Oryctolagus cuniculus: one gene and its partners. The protein of the gene in region 2 interacts with the protein of the main gene of each other region in a biochemical or structural test. Links are inferred from orthologs where the notes say so. Each region holds a gene or a part of one and is shown on either strand. Other genes may lie near its edges.

Region 1 (8,074 bases), on a different chromosome or scaffold from region 2:
CTTATATGATAAGCCTAACTGAAACTCTGATTAGCAGTTAAGATGAGGAGGCCTCAACGGTATATAAAGAAGAAATAGATGAAAGAAAAAGAATAGAAATCAGACATTTTTAAACTGAGATATCACTCTCTCCTCTTCAGGGAACAACTGTTCTGTTACAGTCGCCCCTTGATTCTATCTGTTAAGAAGTGTATCCTCTTGACCCACTGAGTAAAGGCTTTGCTGAGGTGAGAAGGCTGAAGACCATATTCTATTTTCTCTCCCATTGGTGTCTAACAAAAGCTTGCCTATGCTTGGCTGCAGTTCACAATTAATACTTCTGTAGAGGCCAGCGCTGTGGCTCACTAGGCTAATTCTCCGCCTGCGGCACTGGCACCCCAGGTTCTAGTACCAGTTGGGGTGCCAGATTCTGTCCCGGTTGCTCCTTTTCCAGTCCAGCTCTCTGCTGTGGCCCGGGGAAGGCAGTGGAGGATGGCCCAAGTGCTTGGGCCCTGCACCTGCATGGGAGACCAGGAAGCACCTGGCTCCTGGTTTCGGATCAGCGCAGCACGCTGGCCATAGTGGCCATCTAGAGGGTGAACCAACAGAAGGAAGACCTTTCTCTCTTTTCTCTCTGTCTCTCTCTGTCTAACTCTGCCTGTCAAAAAAAAAAAAAAAAAACAAAAAAAAAACAAAAAAAAAACTTCTGTAGAGCAATTTCTCACTTCAATAATCTTAGGATTCAAAGCTCTTCCCATTTAACAACCCATGACTTACGAGCTGATCTTGCTTTGGATTCTAGGAAGGACTTCCTCTTTGTTTTTCTCCTAACACCTATCTCAAAGAAATTGACCTACATTTGTGGGGAGCAACTCAGACTAGACTAAGTTACTGGAATTAAGACTTATTCTATGCATCTGCTCTCTCCCACAAAATGGCACTGGGAGAGGAGTAAACAACTTTTACACAGCTGCCTCCAGTTCGACCAGTAACCTGCAGGAGCTGATCCTGCTCCTGATTGGAGGAGAGCAGCGTGCTCGGCGTGTGGGTAGCAGAGTTGGGATTGGTGGAAGAGGACTATAAAGGAGGAGAGAAACAACATGCACCAGGAACATCTAAGGGGAACATCCGAATAACATCTGAGCAGCCCCCGAGAGAGCTGGCCGGCGGTGTGCCGCTCCCCCACGGAAGTGGGGAAAGTGGCAGGGGGAACCGCCCTTCCACGGAGGTGGAAGGGACAGCAGCCAACCCGGGAAGAACCAGCAGCAAACCCGGGAAGGGCCGAGCAGACAAAAGAACAGCGCAGGGTCCTGTGTCGTTCCTCCAAGAAGAGGGGGAGCAACATACATTCTTTTTTCTTCACTCTTCCAAGTGACTACACAGAACAAAGGGTAAAGGAACAAGCTTGCAAAATATAGCTAAGAGTTGGAATCCAATAATCTGCACATTTATGACTTAGTTGCCTAAAGAACCTGCGATACCCTGAGAAGTCAGTTATTAAAATGTGGACTTTCAGCGAGTCAACCAAGGTTAAAACAAGTCAATAGTTTTACATTAGAACAGGAAGCCAACAGACAAGACTGGCAGAACACCATCGAATCTGAAAGCCTGGCCAAAACAAACACTAAAGTTGATCAACAGGCAACTTAACTCTATTTTCTCTAGCAGAAATGGCACAGAACATGTAGTTACATGAAAACATTCATTTGAAAATAGGACAAAAACTCCTCCATTCCTAAGTCCTCTGAAGAATCAAAATGCTAAGAGTCAGTAAACCTTTTTATGCCACTCTTGGACTAACAGATCAACTGAGACAAATGAATGGAAGTACTAATGTTTACAAAGATCTTTAGAAATGAATACTTTCAGCAGTAAGCATAGTCATTCAATCCCTAGACATTGTCATTTCAACTAAAAGTAAAGTTCAAAGTTATTTTATTTATTACTTTTTTAAACAACAAAGATGCACTCCTTCTAACAGAAGAGAAAGACCATGGTAAACTGTCTTAGAATCAGACCTCCTGTTAGTCTGAATAGATGCTGTATTTGTCAACGTCACAGAGTCTGGTTTACCCAAGGATAAGTAGAGAATTTAAATATTCACAATGGAGGCACCAAAAGAATGAATTCTTCTGGGTCATGCAAAATCTCATCATACATAGTGCTTTGAAGACCTTTCATGTGCCAATGTACTAGTCTCCAAGTCTTCAGCATTTCTTCTTATTACAGATATTGATTTAAAATAATCAATCAATTGATTTAAAATAAATTCTCTTGATTTGTACAAGCACCTTCTCTATCCTCACTAATAAAGTCCAACCTCACTGGCCTAGAATACAGTAAGTTTTTAACTAGTCTCCTGGTTATATAATCATATACTCCACTCTAACCTATCAATTCCTCAGCTTGGCAGCTTCCTTAATCCTTGTTTCCTTTGAATCTTACATAGCAAAATGCCCTCCCTATTTCTCAGGTTCATCCAAATTCCTGCTAATCACTGAAAGCCTAACTCATCTGCCACCTCTTCTGTAAGATGTTCTCCAGCCCAACCTTTATCACCTTTCCCCCTATACTTAATTGATATCATATGAGCTAACACTAGATTTACATATTTTCTGTTTTTTCTTCATACGCCCAACAACATAGCAGTCTTTTGAAAACAAGGCCCAAGTCCTTTATTCCTTTAGCCATCTCTCAGGAGCCTATCACAGAACACATACTCGAGTTTTATTAACTTCCCTTGTTTGAAACGAAAGACACTAACCCCATCCAGCTCTGTATCGTTCAAATACGTATTTTCCAAAATTTTTGTATTTTACTACAAATTAAAATTGGAAATCGCTCCCAGTATTGGCCAAAAGTAAGCCATGGTTTTCAATGAACATAGCTATTCGCATGAAGCACTCAATCTGCCAAAAGAAGAAATATTTTAAGTTTACCTAACAAACATCCTCATCTAGGTCCAGTCATACTTCTAACCTTACTTGGGAGGAGATGCTCTCATTTACTGATTTTGAAAAAAACTTGATTTATCCACTCACCTATTACATGGGCAGACACAAAGGCCACAGCACTTGTTGAGTTCTGTTAAGGTCTTCTCTGCCTCTCTCATGTCTTTATTTATCTGGTCCATGCCTTCTTCTATGCGGTTTAGTTGTTCTAAGAATAAAGTGTTGAAGGTACATTTTCTGTTACAGTATCAACAAGAAAACGCCATAGTGGAATAGCAAACTTCAACTTCAAATCTACCAATACTATACCACAAAGAATAAATCTATCAGTGTCAGAAGATATTACAAAATGTTCAACATGAAGACACTCTTACACCCATACTGACAATGGCTTATAATTGTGGAAGGATCTATTCTAAAGAAATCTGTACACCAGGAGCATGTGAAGATTTAGCACCCTCCCAATGCAAGCAAGTGTACTCTGACCACATCAGATCCCCAGCATTCCTATCACTTATTATGCTTGAAACTTGAGGTGACCACAAGACTAATCAAAAACAGATGAGATTTCTCAAGGCCAACTCAAATCAAATGTTCCCAAGTTAATCTGAATCTAAATCGGTTTTAGGACTTAACTTTGATTTCTAGGGTGAAGTAAGAATGCATAGAGGCCTGATGCACACAATAAGCCATGCTGGCCTAACACATACTTGGTATATAGTTGGTCACTGCCCCCTGTGCTAACCAGGCAATAAACATGATGTCATTCAAATCAGAAGTAAACACATCACTCATCTTACAAAGTTAAGGCATTCCCAAAGGAAAATCTATACAGGGCTGATTTGATAGAACATTTTGGCATTGTAAATCAATTTAAGAATTTCTGTCAGTAACTTTAACTCACCCCCTTGTTCATCCAGCATAGTGATGGTCTTGATTCCTGCATCCTGAGACTAAAACAAAGAGGGAAAATACCAATAGTAAAAAATAAATTAATTAATTAAATACCCTAAACCAACAGAAATAAGACCTTAAAAGGGCTGACAAATAGCAAGACTAGAATCATTTGGAAATTCATCCTCAGAGGATCGAAGCTACAGATAGAACTAGCATTCTTTTTTTTTTGACAGGCAGAGTGGACAGTGAGAGAGAGAGAGAGACAGAGAGAAAGGTCTTCCTTTTGCCATTGGTTCACCCTCCAATGGCCGCCACGGCCGGCGCACCGCGCTGATCCAAAGGCAGGAGCCAGGTGCTTCTCCTGGTCTCCCATGGGGTGCAGGGCCCAAGCACTTGGGCCACCCTCCACTGCACTCCCAGGCCACAGCAGAGAGCTGGCCTGGAAGAGGGGCAACCAGGACAGAATCCGGCGCCTTGACCGGGACTAGAACCCGCTGTGCCAGCGCCGCAAGGCGGAGGATTAGCCTACTGAGCCGCGGTGCCGGCCAGAACTAGCATTCTTAAATCAACACACTTCAACATAATATCCAAAAATAATTAAGTCAAAAACTTAAAATTAATTCATCTTTCCAAGCATATTCCAATACCATCACAAAGGGAAAAGCAGAAAAGGCCAGTTAGCACATGGTTTGACAATTTCAGTAATTGCAGGTTTCAAATAATAAAGTATATTGATAGAATGTGCTTTAGCAGCAACTCCAGCTAGTGCTATCAGGATCCCTCCTATAAACTTCTGTATTTAACTTGATGATTAAACACTTTCTTACCTCAATGGCTAAACCCAGGATTCTCCTTGTACTTTCCAGAGACTAGGAAAAAAATACAGTTTTAGTTTAAACATTTCAAAATATGTAGCCAAAAAAAAAAAAAAAAAAAAACACAGACTATATTCAGAACGTTATTCTGTTTAAAAATCACTAGCCCATCCCTCCCTTTAAAACAAAATCAAGAAAACTGGTCACTGTATTTTCAGTTATTCTTATCAAGTCCTTCTTAAAAGAAAATTAGGATGGTACACTTAAAGGGGTTCATAAAAATTTGATGAAGACAGAACTCTAAGAATATTACACAGATAGTAGGAAATAAATAAAAAATCCAGAATTCTTCAAATTTAGAGTATCTTTGTTGTGAGTAACTGTTAAGCAATGACTATCTGGAAAAACCATGCGAATTATCTTCCCTTACTTAGTGTTTCTGGTGAGTTGATGAAAAGCAATGAGCAATGAATGCCACTGAGGGGCAAATTCATTCTTTGACACAAAGGGACTAGGAAGACCCTGCGCCGTGAAAACTGCAACAGGATTACTTATTCTCAATAAAGCATTTACCTCATCAGTAACCTGGTGAGCCCTCAGCTGAATTTCTTCTGATGTCAGATTATCCATGATGAATCAAAACTTTATCAGGCAAAGAAATGGAAATGTGGGTATCCTACAAGAACAAGGAAACAAAGCTTTGAGCAAAACAAAGAGGGTAGACTTATGGAATTTAGGTATTTCTTATGAAGACAAGATAAAACCCACTTTTATTTATCTATCCCACAGATAGCTGAAAAAGACTAATTGGATATTTAATGCTAGTTAGTACCAAAGATGCACATAAAACAGGTTTTAGGACTTCTACTGAAGTGTGTGTTTTTTTGTTTTTTTTTTTTGTTTTTTTTTTTTAGATTTATTTATTTTATTTGAAAGAGTTACAGAGTGAGAGGGGGAGAGACAGAGATCTTCCATCTGCTGGTTTACTCCCCAAATGGCCACAATGGCTGGGATTGGGCCAATCCAAAGCCAGGAGCCAGGAGCTTCTTCCAGGTCTCCCACATTGGTGCAGGAGCCCAAGAACATGGGGCATCCTTCCATGATTTCCCAGGCACTTTAGCAAGGAGCTGGATGGGAAGTGGGGCAACTGAGACTTGAATGGATGCCTATATGGATTCCAGCGTGTCAGGGGCAGCTTTACCTGCTACGCCACAACACCGGCCCTGAAGTGCTCTTTAAAACGGGAAGGTGGTCACCCTACTTTAAGAAGAAAGGCACTGCTGCAAGACAAGCACTTTAAGAGACTACTGAAATTAATTCTTGGTTGTACAACGTTCTTCTGGAAAAGCAGTAAGGTAATAGAGTCTAGTTAAGGAAAATAACAAATTAAAAGTCATGTGCCTAATAAACACAGGAAACATTTTAGAAATATGCCAGTTGTCCAGGTTACACATTAGAGAAAGTGAAATACTTTTATTCTAAACAAGAAAAGGGTAATGCTGGTACAGAGTTCAGAAAAGAGCTCAAGTTTTCATTAAAGCACTCTTCTCCTCCACCTGCTTGTATTGTTCATAGTGTTAGTAACATCCTAAGAAACTGAAGAACTAGCCTTTCTATATCCCACCTTTGAAAGAGAGGCCTTACAGACACTGAAGCTAAAATACACAATATCTAGTAGGTGCGATCCAGTATCATTCTTGTGTATTCTCCTTTGAGAAGTCACATAAATAAACACTATGCAACAGATCTAGCTTTTCTTCCCAATACACAGATTAGATTTGCATTACATTTTTTTTAAAAAAAATCTATTCATTTATTTGAAAGATAGAGTCACAGAGAGACAGAGGCAGAGAGAGAGAGAGAGTTCTTGCATCTGCTGGTTCACTCCCCAAACAGCCATAACAGCTGAAGCTGGGCGGATACAAAGCCAGGAGCCTGGAGCTTCTTTCAGGTCTCCCATGTGGGTGTAGGGGCCCAAGGACTTGGGCCATCTTATGCTGATTTCCCACATGCATTAGCAGGGAGTTAGATTGGAAGTAGAGCAGCCAGGACTTGAACTGGCCCCTATATGGGATGCCGGCGCTGCAGGCTGTGGCTTTACCCGCTACACCACAGTGCCAGCTCCTATACTTTTTTTTTTTTCAGAATGTTTATTATTTATTTTTGTCTTTTTTAAAGAGTGACAGAGAGAGATCTTGAAAACTGATTTATCAAAGCCCTTTTGTCAATGATACAGATAAAGTCTGGTTCACATTGTAGATTTGTTCTCTAGAATTTGGCAATAAATATATAGAGACATTTAAAATTATTTCTTTATTTGATAGGGAGCGGGGAAGTTAAGGAGTGAGGAAGAGAGAGACCTCCTCCTGCTGGTTCCCTCTCCAAATGCCCACAAAGGCTGGGACTGGACCAGGACAAAGCTGGGAACTAGGAACCCAATCCAGGTCTCCTGTGTGGGTGGCAGAGAACCAACTATTGGAGCTATCACTTACTGCCTCCTGGGATACACATTAGTAGGAATCTGGGAGTAGGGAGCAACGCTGAGACTCCAGTATGGGATGCGGGAGCCCTAAGCAGTATCCAGTGGGTAGACCAGGGAAGTTGCTAAACATCCTATGAAATTCCTTGGGAAAGCCCTCCAACAAATGGTCTGGCCTAAAATTTCAAAGTGTTATGATAAAAAAACCCTGCTATGAAGCATACTCAGTGATAAGCAGGCAATCTAATTACCTGGGCATGTATTAGACTGAACTTGGAAGGCAGCAGTTTCATCTTTGAATTTCTTGATCCTTTTTTTCTTAAGATGCATCTATCTATCTATCTATCTATCTATCTATCTATCTATCTATCTATCTATTTGAAAGCCAGAGCTATAGAGAGAGAGGGAGAGAAAGAGAGAGGTCTTCCATCTGCTGGTTCACTCCCCAAATGGCTGCAACGGCCAGGGCTGGGCCGGGCCAAAGCCAGGAGAAAGGAGCTTCATTCGGGTCTCCCACGTGGATGGCAGCAGCCCAAACACTTGGGTCATCTGCTGCTGCTTTGCCACACCCATTAGCAGAGAGCAAGACCAGAAGTGGAACAGCCAGGACGTAAACCAGCACTCATACGGGATGCCAACATTGCCGGCAGCGGCTTAACCTGCTATAACACAATGCCAACCCTTCATCTTTTTATTTTTAACACCTAACAAGATCTGACAGTAGGCACTCCAAAAGTGTCCGTTGAACGAACAAGTAGGTGGAAAAAGAGGGTGTACTACCAATTTAAGTGGCTCCTAGAAACAAAGCTACATGTAACAACAGCACCACATCTGGAAATATCTACTAGAATCACAAACTCAAAACTGCCATTGCATGTGTATGATCCGCAACAGTGTGCTGGTCACTTATAGATCTTCTCACTTTTAGTAGAATCATCTCAAGTGAGGTACAC
Region 2 (7,990 bases):
AAAAAAGATTTATTTATTTGAAAAGCAGAAAAGGTTGGGGGGGGGGAGAGGGAGAGAGAGAGGGAGGGAGGGAGAGATCGATCTTACATCCACTGGTTAACTCGCCAAATAGCCACAACATCCCAGGAACTCCATCTTCTACATGGATGGCAGTGGCCCAAGCACATGGGCCAGCCTCCTCTGCCTTCCCAGGTGCATTAGCAAGAAGGTGCAATGGAAGTGGAGAGGCTGGGGCTTGAAGTGGAGCTCAAATATGGAATGATGGCATTGCAAATGACAGCATAACCTGCCAGGTCGCTAGATGGCTTTTTTAGTACAAAACATTTAAATCCATACTTATTCAATTGCATTGCATCTGCTCCATTATGATTAGCCTGTTACTCTTGACATTTCTACAAGGGAGCTATAGGAAACATCACATCTTCTGTGTCTCAAGAATCACAACAGACTTCTATATAAGCAGCTTCCCCACTGAGAGCTGCCATTGTCCCTACCAGCCTCTTCACAGTAGTGGCTCTGCATGCTGATGGCTCCAGAGGTTACTCTCAAGCCAGGGCGAAAGTTGTGTAAACAACTAGGCACAAAACATAGGATGTGCTTTAGAAAGAGATATGACCAAGTACTATTGGAGGAGGTGCAGAGAAATTAACTGGAGACCACCTGAGTGAATATGAATATGAATCTTGAAGGAGGTGTAGAAATTTCCCAGACACGACGTGGAGAAAGCACCAACCAGGTGGACAGAGGTGAGAGATCACAAAAGGGTGAGTGAGGTTTGGGGAAGGGGTGGTTTCATGAGGTTGGTGGAGGAGCTTTGTGAATCAGGTAGTGATGGTAGGTGAGAGGGGGGCAAAATTGGGCAAGGCCTTGAATGTTATTTTTTATAGAAAGCTTTTATTTAATAAATATAAATTTCATAGGTAAAACTTTTGGATTATAGTGGTTCTTCCCCCAAACCCTCCCACCCCCAAACCGTCCCACCTCCTACTCTCTCTCCTATCCCATTCTTCATTAAGATTCATTTTTAATTATCTTTCTATACAGAATGTCAACTCTATACTAAGTAAAGATTTCAAGAGTTTGCACCCACATAGACACAGAAAATTTAAAGTACTGTTTGAAGACAAGTTTTACTATTAATTCTCGTAGTACAACTCATTAAGGATGGAGGTCCTACATGGGGAGCAAGTGTACAGTGACTCCTGTTATTGATTTAACAATTGACACTTTTATTTATGACGTTAGTGATCATCTGAGGCTCTTGTAATGTGCTGCCAAGGCTATGAAAGCCTCTTGAGTCCACAACTCTGACATTATTTAGACAGGGCCATAATTGAAGTGGAAGTTCTCTTCTCCCTTTAGAGAAAGGTACACCCTTCTTTGATGGCCCCTTTGAATGTTATTCTAAGAAGGGTCTGGATTCCGTTTGTGAAGAGAAGCCATTGATGGGTTTTAATCAGAATAAAGATGCATTGAGCCATAATACCAGAAAATGCATTAATAAAGTTAGTAAGCATGTGCTGAGAGCCTAGTAGTTTTTGGCCCTATGCTTTGGTGAGGAGTGGCAAAGCTACTGCCCCCACAGAGCTTACAGAAGGTACAGGAACCAGACATGGTCATGTGATTATGTGACGTGGTAAGGTATGAAGGAGAAGTCTAGGGTATCACAGAAGCACATTCAAGGAGCACTTAACTCACTCCTGGAGGGTACGGGGTGGGGAACCTATTTTTATTTAAAAATTATTTTATTTATTTGAAAGAGAGAGAGAGAGTGAGAGAGAGAGGTCTTCCATCTGCTGGTTCACTCTCCAATTGGCCGCAACGGCCGGAGCTGCCCCAATCTGAGGCCAGGAGCCAGGAGCTTCTTCTAGGTCTCCCAAGTGGGTGCAGGGGCCCAAGGACCTGGGCCATCCTCTACTGCTTTCCCAGGCTGTAACACAGAGCTGGATTGAAAGAGGAGCATCCTGGACTAGAACTGGTGCCCATATGGGATGCTGGAGCATCAGGCCAGGGCTTTAACCCACTGGGCCACAGCGTCGGCCCGGTGGGAACCTATTTTCCACCAAGGGCTATTTGGATATTTATAACAGCACTGGTGGCCCATACAAAACTATCAACTTAACAATTAGCCCGTTACAGATTTATCAAATTTCGAGTCCTACCTCTTGTTGCTTTGGCAGGGCCAGACTACATAATCTCACAGGCCTTATATGGCCCAGACGTTCCCCACTCTAGCATGTGGGTTATCTGGTTTTAGGGTGGTCTATGCCTTTTTTATGATTTTGTTGTTGTTTTCCAAAACTGTAAGTTGTAGAAAATTAATATTGATGCAAATGATTCTTGTCTAGAGAGGTGTGAATGAATTTTGTCCCATGGAAGTGCAATTGCTCTCCCACCACAAGAGTTTTGCATTTCTTAGCATATTCTTTCCAGTATTCAGCATTTCTGTTACCTGTAGCACCCTCTCCTGCTGTTTGGATTCTTCTCTGGATAGCTTTAGCTTCCTACCAGTTTCTTCATTAATTGAGGAATTAAATAAGACCTCTGATTCACATTCACTTTATATTTGTATGAGAATCATGATTTTAACCTTTGAAAATAGCGAATTTTTGACATGTGTTCAGAGTATGAACCGTCACTTGTTGGTTCCTAGAATTGAAAAGACTCCTGATTGCTATGGTCCTTTTAGACCTTCAAAGGTAAAGAGATGTTCTCAGCCCTGTTTCCCTCAGGGCGGGCAAGTACCTATCCTCACCATCAAAGATTGTGGAGGTGAACAGATCCAATAGTATTTCCGATGAACTCAGTTTTTCCATTTATGACCTGCAGGGGGCGCTGCTACAGACGCGCCACTCAGCCCGGCGCGCAGGACGTCAGAGGGGATTAGCATGCAGAAAAGCAGGGCCAGGTCCAGAAGCCAGGCCTCGGCTCTGCCGACCGTATCCTTATGGCAGCCGAAGTCAGCACGCGGCAGGGCCGCAGAAGAAGGCAAAGTCCTGTGCGAACCGCAAAACTACTCACAGCCGGTCAACCGGAGGCTGTGAAGAGCAAATTCTCCGGAGAAGTCTCTCTCGGCCCGTTACTGCGCTCCACCCCGCTGGGATCTGCACACCACAGAGGGAATGAAGGATTCGGCTTTCCAAGGCAAACACTTTTTACCTTAAACCCCGTTCCGTGGGTTACGAGTCAATCACTCCTCTCACGTAGGTTTCACAGCAAACTCCCAAGCAGGTGCTACCTCCTGAGAAAGTGCGTTTTCCCAAAGTTGCACAAAACACCTCGACAAGGACAGGCCTCTCTCTCTCTATCTCTCTCTATCTCTCTATCTCTCTCTCTCTCTACCTCCCTCCCTTCCTCCTCCCTCCCTCCTTCCCTCCAGGGTCCCGATGGCCAAAAACATCAAAGTCCTCATTCCGGCCCGCCCCCTCCCACTGCCAGCACGACCCCCTTTAGGTTCGGCCTTGCGTGCGCAGATCCGGTCTCCCGGAGCGACCTTATTCCTCCCCCTTCCCCACGCACACCTGATGCGTTTGTTTCGGGGTGTGGGGGAGAACTGTCTCCCCGCCTGGCCGTGAGTCTGCCAAGGGCACCGACGGCGAATCCCAGTAGGAAAGGTGGCCTGAGGCCGAAACGACGTCTCCGCTCGTCCTCGAGCAGACGGAGGGATCTGCCAGCGCCAGTTCCTCTACTCCTCCGACCCTTCGGGTGCCCTGGAGTTCGGGGAGGTGGAGCGAGCGCGGTCAGACGCGGGCCCTTTAAGGAGGAGCGCGGGGCGCGGCCCAGGTAAGGGGCGGGCCGGCTGCGGATGAGCGCTGCGCGCCGGCGCCCGCCCGGGAGGCGGATTTGGAGCGCGCGGCCGCCGCGGGGGCTGGAGGGGCGGTGCGGCGGAGCCTCAGTGGTGTGGGACGCACCTGCTCGCGAGCGGCCGCCGCCCGCCTCCGCCTGCGCTCCTAGCTCCCTCGCCCGGGCCCGGCCGGCCGCCACTTCCGGGCGCTCACCTGGGGCGCGCTCACCTGGGACGCGCTCCCAGCCGCGGGCACCCAGGCGGCAGGATGAAGGACCGGCTGGAGCAGCTGAAGGCCGTGAGTCCAGCCGCTCCCGGGGCCCCGGCGGGCGGGGCGGGACTGCCGGGAGCCGCCGGGAGGTGCAATGCCGGGGACAGGGGCTTCTCCTTTTCTGCCCAAATCGAGGCTGCGCGCAAGGGTTGTCCTTTAAGCCCCGCGGCATCCCGCGAGGGTGCCGCACCCTCCCCTCCCTGCGGGGTCATGTGCCCATGATTCACCGCCGGGCCGTGACTTCCCTGACCGCCTCCAGCGCTCCCATCTCCTCCCCCCACCTCCCAAGCAGAACCCGGGTTCAGGGGTGTGCGTGCGCCCTTATGCCCAGCGGGGCTTACGGGTGCTCAAGGGGTCACCTAACCACCTGCTGCCTGCTGCTGCCGGGCGCTCAGTCCAGAATCGGCCTCCTCCACCCCTCTTCCTGTTTCCCTTCTGGACTGCGTGGGGTCCAGCGCCCCCCTCTCCCCCAGGAGCAGCTGAGTTCCCAGGTGACCTCTCCAGCTGTGAGCTGGTCACGAGGTGGGGCCATTCGGTGGTCTGTTATCAAGTCCCAGCCTTGCCTTGAGATGGGAGTGGTCAGGGCAAAAGGACAGGAAGGTGGGCCGCCTCCAGCCCTGTGGCACAGAAGCGGGAACACCTTAAGCTACTTACTTTGTGGGGCCTGTGTCTGGTTATCTGTCAAGTGAGAATGATTATACCCGCTTGAGAGGTTTGTTCCAAGGATGACGTGACATAATGAGACATGATATAGACAAGTGTAAAAAGCCCGGGTTTTTGAGCCAGATATTTATTGACAGAGACAGTAAATAGTTATTGAGTGCCTTCCATGAGGCAGACCCAGTGCTAAGCCTCAGCGATCCTGGTAACACAGGCTGTACCGTAACAGAAGGTAGAATCTGGCCCTTGCCACTCACGATGTGGTCTTTCTACTCGGGAGCTTGTCAGAAGTGTAGCAAGTTAGCCCTCTTTCCCCACCCGCCGCATGTAGAACCATGGACTCAGACACCAGAACCAGCTTACTGGCTCTCCCTTACACTCCAACTCTGTTTTGTCGTCTGTAACATGGTAGTTGTGAGAACTTAAAAGTAGGAAAGCATGTAAAAGAATCCTTTGGTGCACAGCATGTAAAACTAAGTAAATGGCAAATTTTATGCTAATAGCTAAATGCTCTTTGGAAATTCTTGTTGGGGACCATTGGGATGAGGCTGTGATTCTTAGGTGATTCTTTTGTGGCTCTTCCACCTGCTCTGGGTTGTAGGGCTGCAGAGTGGCAAAGGAGCTCAGGATATGAAAGAAGCAAAGGGACAGTTGCTTATCGTGGGAGGGAACCCTCTTGCCCCACACTTGCTCTTTGTCACTGGAGCCTGGCATCATACTGGTGACCCAAAGGGCAGAATTTATTGCCCCTGTTTTATAGACAGAGATCCTGGAGCTTGCCCTGGGTAGGACGGTTGTCCCATCACAAACTGGTCAGGGCACAGCCCTCAGAGGAAGGCAAGCTCCTGACCTCTCCTCCGTGTCCTTTCCCTTCTGTTACACCGCTGGGGGAGGCAGGAAAAAAAAAAGAAGAGCATGATTTCGAAGATCTTCCTGTGTGAGCACACCCAGCAAGCACAAAAAAACTGAACCGCAGACAGAGGCTGCTTTCTTCCTTTAGTTAGGAAATGTGTTTCCAACGGAGGATACTCCAGAGCCCCTTTCAATAACCCATTGTCAACAAAGAGCAACAGTGCCTTAACTGAGCCTTCGATTCCAAGAATAAATTCAACCCGCCGAGGCACCCAAGCAAGTCCTTTCTCTCATGGCTACCGTCTGTAAAACAAAGCTAATGATACGCTTCCTCTCTTTACCTCTTGGGGACGCGGGGAAAGTGAAGACTATAGACGGTGCTGTTATTATGGGTGCATTGTTCTGGAATCACAGAGTGGTTACTGTAGCGTTTTGGAGAAGCGTGGGGGTGCAGGGTAAGGAGGACAGGGTTGCGAGTTCAAAGGCTTCTTTCTAATTGTGGTATTGCCACTTAGTAGCTGTGTTCCTTTATGCCCTCCTCTTTTGCAAAACCAGGGGTTAGGTTGATCTCAGAACCCCTTTCTGACATTGTTACTGGTTTCTATGAAGACCTTTAAGAGTTAGGTGGGTTTTTGGTGTTGATTCTACCTCCCGTACCCCTTCCCTCGCTGAAAATCCCATCCCTGCAACAAGATGTGCCATGCTCTCTCGCTGATTCCTGTTATCAGCCGATTGAGCGTGTTTGTTAACCTGCAGTAAACAGTTCTGGCGGAACAGCCTGTGCTGTCTGTTTCTCTAGAGGTCTTTTTAAACCCTGGGGGAGGGGAGGTGATGATGGATAGCTGGAGGGCCGTCTTGTGGGTGAGATTGGCTTTGCCCTGTGTAGATGTTAGAAGATGTGGGGATGACGGTGGCAATTGGGAGTCTGTAAGGAAGCACTTCTGGTTGTTGGAGCTGCCCAGGGATGGGTTAGTGTGGTTGGGGAGGCAGTGAGCCCTCCAGCACGGGAGGGAGGCTGGCAGACAGCTTGCTGAGGTGTTGAAGGCTCTAGGAATTGAGGCACCTCTCTGAGGGAGGGAAGGTGAGCTGGCTGATTTAGGGCCTCCTTCAGTCTTGAGTCTGTCTGGTTCTGTGAGATGCTTTATTTGTGAGCCTGTCCTAAGGCTTTGCAGTCCATGAAGACTGAGGCCTCAGAGTTGCACCTGTGAATTGGGTCATCATCCTTTTCCCATAGCGTCCTTGTGAGGATGAAACAAGGCAGTCCGTGAGACTCACCCACCACAGACAATGAGAGTTCTCCAAACTGCTTCGAGCAGTGTTCTCACTGAGAGGCATACCTTTCTGATCCCAAGACCTGACTCACCTTCTCCCTGGACTGTTCCCTTCACCCTCCCCTGCCACGTTCAGGGTGCTCTCCTGTTCCTCAGTGACATAGGAAAGATTTGCCCGGGAATGTGCGGCGCCTCCTTGCAGCCCATCTCAGAAGGTGGTTCTTACAGATGTCTCAGCAGCTGAACTTTGACTCTGCTGAGTCTGGATGACTTCTGGACCGGGGTCTTTTTTTTCTCTGGCTTTCTTTGCATTCTGCAAACATTTACCGAGAACCTACTGGGTGTCAGTTCCTGCTGTAGGTGCTGGGGTGTGGTGATTAACCCATCTTCCTGGCTGTCAGGAAGTTCACAATCAGGGAGACATACAAGAAATGAACATGGTGATACCATCTCTGTGATCTCAATGACCACAGGAACACCCTCTGGGAGATGGGCAGGGAGTGGGGGATTCCTAGAACAAGTAGTACCTGAACTCAGGTCTCATTTTAATTGAGTTTCTTTGGATGCATGTAGAATTTCTTAAGAAAGGCAAGCAAGATCCTAGTGTTAGAGAATAAATAGTCCTAGAAGGGGAACAAATTTGTTTCATGAGAACAGCAATTAAAAAAATCAAAGGTAGGTGACAGTGATGTGTGGAATAGAGGTCAAGGACTTTGATCCCCTGAAGACTGATCTACAGTAGACGAGAACTGACTTGGAGATAGTGGTCCCTCCAAGGCCAGTTAAAATAGCACACTAACAAAACCAACCAGCAAGCTCCAAGGGGCAGCTTTTTCCTCTCTCTGTTCTATTTTGTGTCATGTTGCTTCCTAAAGACCTGTCCTTGACCTCCTACCCTGCGGAAGTTCTGGGATCTCTGTGGGATGGGAGTCCCTCAGATGGCACTGTACTATAATCCCATCAGAAATAGGTAGCTGTGCTTCCCCCCTTTAAAGCTTAAATCATTCAAAAAACACTGATTGAGCCTCTACCGTGTGCCAGGTGCTTTGGATCATAACTAAATCTTCACATAACAACTTGCCCCTTTATTAGATCCCAGCCTTCTTTAGTAAGACTCCTTTAAGCTCAGAATTCCTTCCTTCCCCACTCTCT
Region 3 (8,227 bases), on a different chromosome or scaffold from region 2:
TACTTTATAAAAACTCTTATTATTCATTATTAAATTATAATTATTGAGTCAACCATGAGTGTTGTGCCTTCCGTCAGAAATATAAGCTAAATATCTTGAACCTGGAGCTATTACAAACCAGAATACTTTAGGGCATGGTGTACCAGAAAATAAGCTTTCAGAGATTGAATTAGCACAGTGTAAATATCTATCCAACAGAGCAGGTAATTTTCTCATTGCTCATCAAATGAATTCCTAAGCGTTAGTTACCCAATATGCTGGTTCTTGTAGAAATAACCCACAAACAGCTGATTCATTTGGGAACAAAGTTTCCTTTATCTTCCTTAGTGTAGGGTTCAAGCCTTCCCTTCGTGAACCCTGACTGACATAAATCTGGTTCCCTACTGGCAAGGATGACTATGGATTTTATTTTTTATTCATCTGTTTATTTGTTTTTCTTTTGTTTTAATCAAAGAATGAGAAAACACTAGAGGAAACATCTCATTATCATATTCAAAATACATTAGGGCCATCTGGTCAACCTGACTAGACTTCTATCTGTCAGATTAGACTGTTAACCTTTTTTCCCCCAAAGCAAAATGAAGAACCTTTTAAGCAGCACTGTCTTCAAAGCAAGCACATGGCAATGGAAATGCTGTCAGCTAACCTTGTAAGCCCAGTGAATCAGTTTGACTCTCTCCTCTCATCTGCAGTTTTTAGAGATGTTGGTGTGAGGCATCAGCAGCTGAAAACCCCGGCTACAAAGCCAGTCCTCCCCTGTGGCTGCCACACAGCTTTTGCCTGCAGGATGAGCTTCCTCACTGACGTACTTACTTTTTTTTTTTTTTTTAATCTGGAAAATCCCCCGCCTCCTCCATTCTTTCACAAACTTTCTGCCTGAATGATTTCTCATCAGAGAGCCCTACATACATTTTGTTTCTCCCCACTGCGGGCCTTCTTGTTTATTTTTCTACAAACTTCTGCATGCTGCCCTTTTTTTTTTCCAAAACGTCACATTTTGGAAAAAATTTTGACTCTGAAGGATTTTTCAAGACCACTACATTCTCACTGCTTTCCCCACTCTATTCCAACTTGCTTTTTATAATGAAAATATGAACCATAATTGGGAGAGATTTATTGGCAAGTAAGTATCTGAGGACCACGCAGCTTTTTTTCTTTACAGGAACCTTGAATGTTTAATAAATATTTAAGTAAACAAATTTCAGCCACATGCTTTATTTTAGGAATCCAGCTTTAATAAAAATCCAAGCACTATTATTTTAGGAATCCAGCTTTAATAAAAATCCAGACGCTATTATTATTGCAAACATTAATATTTCAAAATACTCTGGATCAGGGAGTCTTTTAGAAACAATGACTTCCACTGATTTCAATTAAAGGCAACCTGCATTAAACTCTAGCAGCTCCTTCCCTCCTGAGCACAGTCCCTTTACAATGGGTCTTTCCTCCCCCATCACCACTTCCCGCAATCACATGCAATTAAAAGGCTTATTATTGCTGAAGCTTGGCCCTCAGCCAGCAAGGTGCGTGTGTGGGTGCGTGTGTGTGTGTCCGTACTTGTCTGTATATTGTTTTTCCGGAGCCAGTTCTAAATGGTTTTCTCTACGTCTGAAGGAGACAAGGATCTTCCATAGCCCAAAAGAGGCCATCAAGTTTTAACACTGCGAGGCACGACTTCTAATTGCATCCTCCCCAGAAAAGTACAAACAGTTCCTCAGACGAGGTCCCCCACCTCCTACGCGCCCAGCAGCCTGCCCTCCCCGCAGAGAGCCCCGCGACAGCCTCCCCAACACCTGTGAATCATCCGAGAGGCTCCAAGGCAGAGCTATTTGCACGCCACCCCCATCACCGCCACCACTGCCTCCCTGGGCGCCTCCTGCACGACAACAGGGTGGGGTGGGGGTAGCTAGGATTATTGCTTTTTTATTATTATTTCTAATTTCTCATATGACTTGCACAAGACACCTTCCTCACTCTTGCCCTGATTTGAACATCAGAGAGCCCCGAGCCAGCCTGTCGTGGTGCCCAGGCTTTGCTCACTGAGCGAAGCACCAGCGTTTTATCGCGTCCTAACCATGCTTGAACGCAAACCCGCCACCTTCTCCCTGGATGTCTGGACCGATCTAGGAGGCGCCTACGTGCCTGTGCGGACTTTTCCTAAAATACCCAACGCAAAACCCCAGGCTCAGACTGCAAATTCCGCTGAAAACAGCGTCATCAATGTTACCCTGGCCAACAGCTCTCAACTCCTAGCCTGGAGTCCTAGCAACCCCCTGCTGGTTTGGTTAACGACCCTTCCGGACTCAGCGGATACTCTCCGTGGTAATAGCTCTGACGTACTTTAAAATAAAGTGTGTGAGTCTCTCTTCCCAACTGACCACATGAATGCAAACTCCTAGCCCTCGTTGCAGCTCGGATAAAATGAAGAAATCACTCATAAAAAATAGCAACCCACGTAGCCTAGCCATATATGGAGCTGGGGAGGGTTGACAGGGATGTCCCTTCGGACCCTTTTCTGGTGGTTAGGGGCACAAACCGTAGCTGAAATTTCCCCCTCCCTCACCGTTCCCACCACCGCCTCTGCCTTCCTCTCTTCGCGTGTGACTCAATTCAGCTGGAGTAAATTATGTATATGTGATCTATAGATGTACGTATATTAACATTCATAGGCACACACAACAAAGGACATCAGGGAGCCAGTGGCAAGGTAAATGTGTTTGCCCAAGACCGGGTGTTAAAATGGAGTCCTAAAACCTCTCTGTTCGGGTGTTTATAGAACGCTAAAATGCAAAGATTTGTAGTGAAGCGCACACGGAGCTGAGTCAAGCTCTGGGCACCTCGAGACTCGTCCCCTCCCTTCACGCGCCTCCGCCCCCCTCGCTCCTCCCCGGCCACCACGCGCCCCCTCCCTCATTCGACCCTCCCTGCTCTCCATTCCCCCCACTCACCCCGCCCCTCGCCAGAATACTTCCTCCCCGCCCCTCCCGAGCCGGCTATTAAAAGCTGCTGACGTCAAAGGGACGGCCATCTTTGATGAGGGCAGAGCTCACGTTGCATTGAAGACGAAACCTCGCCGAGGTCAGGCGCTGTCTTTCCTTCCCTCCCTGCTTGGCGGCTCCTCCACGCTTGCAACCTGCAGGGGCCCCGGCGAACACCACCCTCTGGAGAAGCCAAGGTAAGGGGACCCTCCCCAGCTCGAGGTTCTGGCTCTAGATGTCTGTGTACCCCAAAGGGACCCCACAGCTGGGCAGAGCAAGTGAGCTTGGGCAAATGCAAGTGTTTGTACACTTAGGGTGCGGTATTCCGGGTATGCACGTCTGGCTAGACTCCCTTCTGGGGCTTTATAAAGTATTTTCGAGGTGAGCTGCTTGGGGAAGGGATGAATGGAGATAGTGCAGGTGGAGCGATGAGGAGGAAGAACAAGGATACATACCGAATAAGTTACTCCTCTGCAACAGTCGTGGGACTCTGTCTCTTCCATTTTGCGATGCAGTTTTCGGAGATGTTTAGCAGGCTAGGGGGTAGGGAGTAGGGGTTTGTTTTTCTTTCTGTGGACCAAAAAAAAAAAAAAAAAAAAAAAACGAATCAAAACAAAAAGCCATCATGTTGTTCTAATTCTCTTGGGAAGAATTAAGGAGGAGGCAAGGTGTGGGGCGCTGGGGAGGCCAAAGGAGAAAGAACGAGTTCTCGCCCCGGGCAAGCGGAGCTGTGGCAGCGGCAGCAGCCTCCATGCCCCGCGGACTTGATTTATGCCGCCTGCTCCACGTCAACTGCAGGCTGGCGGGAGGCGGGCGGGTCGTGCCGAGTGGGAGGGCTCTGCGGAGGGCTGGCGCGGTGGGCTCGCCCCGGGGACTGCGGCGGCCGGTGCTCAGCACCCTGGAGAGCAGTACCGGGGGCCCGTGCTGGCGCCGGCGACCTTTCAGCACCACAGACAGCAGTCCGGCCGCAGAGCGGCATCTACCTGCGGCAGACGCCTGGCGGGGACTGGATGTGCCAGGGTTGGAGGTCAAATCGTCTCTCTGAGACCCTGATCTTACAGGGACCATTAATAGAGCAGGCATAGTAGGTTCAAAGAGAAAAGGGAAGAAAAAATAAATCCTGTCCACAAAGACTTAAGACAATTGCCTGCTCTCCTGTTCACCTCCTGCATACCATCAAAAAAAAAAAAAAAAGTCTGCTGGTGGAAACCCTCTGTGTTGCCCTCTGCCCCTCTTCGGTAGGAAATAAACACTTTTAAAAATAATATGTGTTAAGTCTCTAGCAAGATATATACATTTTTGTTTGTTTTTGTTTTTAACAGAGTAAATCAATCTACAGATCTTGGGTGGGCATGAGTGGGGTATATATGAAGATGGCAAAACTGTTTATAGAAGTGATATCTTTCTAAATATTTATATTTTATGAACATTTAGGATTAACTGAATTAATAAGAATCAACATTACCACGAGCACACATTCACAAAAATACATCTTCGAGGACTATTACAGTCCTATAGTGTGTATTATTTAACATCTCTTGCTGTGAATTCAGAGTTAGTAGAAGTATTTCCTGTAGTTGTTGGTTATTAATGGTCAGTAGTTTCTTTTTTGTTTTGATAACATTAAGACTGGTCTACCACAGGACAATCCAACTGTGTCCTTCAGGACACGGCAGATGAGAGATCCAGGGTGTTAGAATGAAACCGGGTTCCAACCTAAAGATCTACTGCAATTTCTATTATAGCACTGCAGGATTTTGCTGAGGTGATGATAAATACTTTGGCCATTTTCTACTCTGAGGTTTGGAGCCTCTGAGTGAGCAAAAATCATCACAGCAATATTTCTCTTTGATTTAGACAGATCAAATTGTCATGAAATGGCTGGGATCAAAACTGTACTATTTAAGTAGCTGGCAAAAAGAATAACTGTCATATGTAAGAATATGTACAGCATATTAAAAAATGCTACCATGATCCCTTTAAAAGACTCAAAATAAGATCTTGGATTGTGTTTAATTAGGCATAACTCCAATCATCTGTATACTAAAGATTCTAAAACATCTTGTTCACATACAGAAGGTTTTTCCATCTCAAGCTATCTATTTATTACATAGTGTTTTTCCTTTTTATGGTTAACCATGCATTTATATATATGTGTGTGTGTGTATTGTATATAATATATATATATTTGTTCTGTATGGATGTAAAAATTATTTGGGTGGACATTTATTCATCAGTCTATACCTGCATGAAAGAAGTTTATAACTCTAAAATCTTCAGGCAAAATAAACAACTTGTTTCAGTTATGGGAGGAAGGGAGTTATGGACAGGAATCATTAAAAATGTTTTTATCTTCATGCTGCATATCCAGACAGCTCTCTGCGTAGTTGCGTCAAAAGAAAAGCCTAATGCAGCTGGAATTACGTGCTTGGACATTGGTAATTACTGCTGAGTTTGTTTGCTAGTGGAAGACTGGGGATAGGAGGAAGAGGTAGAGGACTGCAGTGAAGCTGCGAAGGGCACAGGACTGGGAGGGAGAAGCAAAATGCGGGATGATAGGGCTAATTCTGAACGAGCTTACTGACAAATTAAAGAAAAACATCACTGATTCATGAATTTAACATGTACATTGTTGACACACTTCATAAAAAGGAATCTAAGATGTGTTATTTTAAGAATTTTAAAAATCCAGGGCAGTGCAGTGAGAAGAGGTATGAGCAGATAGACAAAAGGATGAACCAGGTATCATTCATGCAGCCCCTCTGATGGTACCTGGAATTTTCTGTTACTATTTTGGCATTCAGATAACAAAACAACTTACAGTCTTCTGAGCTGTTCTATGGTAAAATCTCTGAAAAATGAAACCTTTTATTTTCACTCTGTTAGACATGCACAATCACACATATGCAAACACAACATAAACTGTCCCTTAGTTAGCTTGTCTAAAGATATTCCTGAGCTCTAAATGATAGCCCTCAGTGTCAGGGTTATCAACTGGAAGATTGATGTTTGTTCCAGTCCCACCTGGAAGCTGCGTAACAGCAGGCCTTCAGCAGAACCTGTAGGTCTTGAGCATTAAATGGGAGAAATAATTCAAGAAAGATATTGAGAGAGGAGACTAGAAAGAAGAAAAATAAATGAAACTGATTTTTAGATGATGCACTCTGAATAAACAATGTTTCTTGTGTTATGGAACTGTTTTGCAATTCTACCAAGCTAGGAAAATCCATGTTTTCAGCTTCAGCGCTGGATTTGTTTCTGCAATGTCATCCCTTGTCGGCAGCGACTAACCTGATAAGAAGATACCAATCAATCAGTCAACACCAGATACATAAATGAACTCCCATGGAGGGGATATCAGGCCTCATAGTTATATGGCCTTTGACCTCAATGAGTTTAACATCTAGCAACCTTTAAAAAAGTTTAAAGTCAGTAAACATTACTAGAACTAAAATGCAATAAAATGGTGGAAGAAAATATGTGAGGGGACATATTAGTAAATGTCCAGTGAATGTGACTAACACGAAGGAATGTAAATTCAGAGGACAGCAGTGTTGCAGATCTGATCTGAGAGAACAGGTCGAACTTGAGCTTCTTTTGAAGATTGGAGAGAGGCTGAAGAAGTCTGCTAAGTAGAAGTTACAGCATAAGCAGAACTGCAAGTTGGGCAAGTTCCATGCTATGGTCAGCAAACCCTGAAAGAGCCCATCCATCTGAGTGGAATCGTAAACTTGCATGTATAGTTTGGGGGGCAAAGGGGTTGCTATACCAGAATTGGAGCCTTCTGTGGAAGGCTTTAAATGCAAAACTGAGAATTTGGTACTTTATCTTCTAAAATTGATTTCTGAGCAGAAACTGATATAACAAAGTAGCCAGGTCTTCTTTAATATCCAGAAATTGCTGTTGACACAGTGGATTTAATTTATGTTCTTTCAGAAATTGAGAGGAGAAAAATAATGTTGTGAGAGATCACTAATTTAAAAAATATCACTCATCACTGAAGAATCTTTTAAGCTCACTCTTCAAGATGCACATACGCAGATGAACATGTAAGGCCTGCCCAGAGTTAATTGTAAGTTTCAACTTTCCACCACTAACTAGAACAAATTATTCAAGATGAGTACCTGAGATTGAAAACAGGTCAGGAATCTGGTGATGAGAAGTCACAGAAGGTATACTTACCTGATCAATGTGATGCAGAACACTCTCTTGTACTCTCTGAGTATTCTGCATTCTCAAATACACTGGTTGGATGAAAAAAGACATCAGATCTTCTGAGCATGTCTCAGGCAGCAAAACAATTGACTAAGAATGGGGGGGGTGATGTGAGAAAATTCAGAAAATCTGGAGTGAGGGAGGTGGGCAGCGAGTCAAATTTCTTTATATAGCAACCTTGCTGATGCTTGCTGATTACCCTCCAAGGGCTATTTGAAATCTGGACTATACCTATTTCCATTGTAACCTAGTGTTTACTACTCTTGCCAGCGGAAATTCAAGATTACAAGTACCGATGGAACTGCTAAACCAAAGTAGTCGATGACTTCCTGGAAAGGAAGAAGTAGCAGTTGCAGACTAGGATTTATTGCTATTTCACTGTGGCTGTGAAGTATCAAGAGTGTAACCTCATTTGTTCTTCATCAAAACACTGAAAAAAGACATGTCCTAGGGTAACTTTCTGATTTCCGAGCTGACATCCCAGGAGAAACAGGAGAGTTGTGACATTTGATGCTTTAGGAGGAGGTCAGGCTGGGGATTAGTAAACTGAGTCCCCAAACACCTCTAAACATCAGGTAAGAGGAAGGGAGAAGATGTGACAGCACATTGAGGAAATGGGAGGTGTGAATGGAAAAGCTGTAAAGAAATTAGCCTTACAACAGGAAAAAACTCAGAAAATTCCAGAGACCCTCAGCTACACAATAAGCTCTTCAGAGTTACTGTTGTTGCTATAACAAAAATATCCAGTCTTTCTATTTAATTTCCTTCTCCAGAATCTTAAGCACTTCCCCTTAAACATGTAAAAGTCCAAAAAGCTTCTAATTTCTCCTTGAACAACACAAACCTTGGTCATGATGTTAAATACCATTAGGAAGACATAGCTCCGAGTTAGAAAGACAGAGATACCCAAAGACATGATTAATCAGAATAGACCGGGGTGGGGTGGGGGGAGAAAGTACCTTACCTATGCTCGTTCACTAATCCTCATAACCTCCATGTGGTCAGGTTACTATTAGTAACAATTACTATCAGGT

Evidence for each region.
Region 1: the proteins of STX3 (region 2) and SNAP23 form a complex in vitro, tested with the Homo sapiens proteins (3 studies listed by BioGRID). The link is inferred for Oryctolagus cuniculus from reciprocal best matches to the Homo sapiens genes STX3 and SNAP23.
Region 3: the proteins of STX3 (region 2) and SNAP25 form a complex in vitro, tested with the Homo sapiens proteins (2 studies listed by BioGRID). The link is inferred for Oryctolagus cuniculus from reciprocal best matches to the Homo sapiens genes STX3 and SNAP25.

The regions. Positions count from the first base shown.
Region 1 is NC_091443.1:65,543,722-65,551,795, reverse strand, and holds the start of SNAP23 (synaptosomal-associated protein 23), read right to left. Parts: upstream 5,273-8,074; coding exon 5,216-5,272; intron 4,697-5,215; coding exon 4,655-4,696; intron 3,884-4,654; coding exon 3,835-3,883; intron 3,139-3,834; coding exon 3,021-3,138; intron 1-3,020. UniProt on the Homo sapiens protein: Essential component of the high affinity receptor for the general membrane fusion machinery and an important regulator of transport vesicle docking and fusion.
Region 2 is NC_091432.1:12,701,707-12,709,696, reverse strand, and holds the start of STX3 (syntaxin-3), read left to right. Parts: upstream 1-3,844; 5' UTR 3,845-4,052; coding exon 4,053-4,082; intron 4,083-7,990. UniProt on the Homo sapiens protein: Potentially involved in docking of synaptic vesicles at presynaptic active zones. Apical receptor involved in membrane fusion of apical vesicles.
Region 3 is NC_091442.1:35,147,628-35,155,854, forward strand, and holds the start of SNAP25 (synaptosomal-associated protein 25), read left to right. Parts: upstream 1-3,017; 5' UTR 3,018-3,175; intron 3,176-3,433; exon of another isoform or gene 3,434-3,756; intron 3,757-8,227.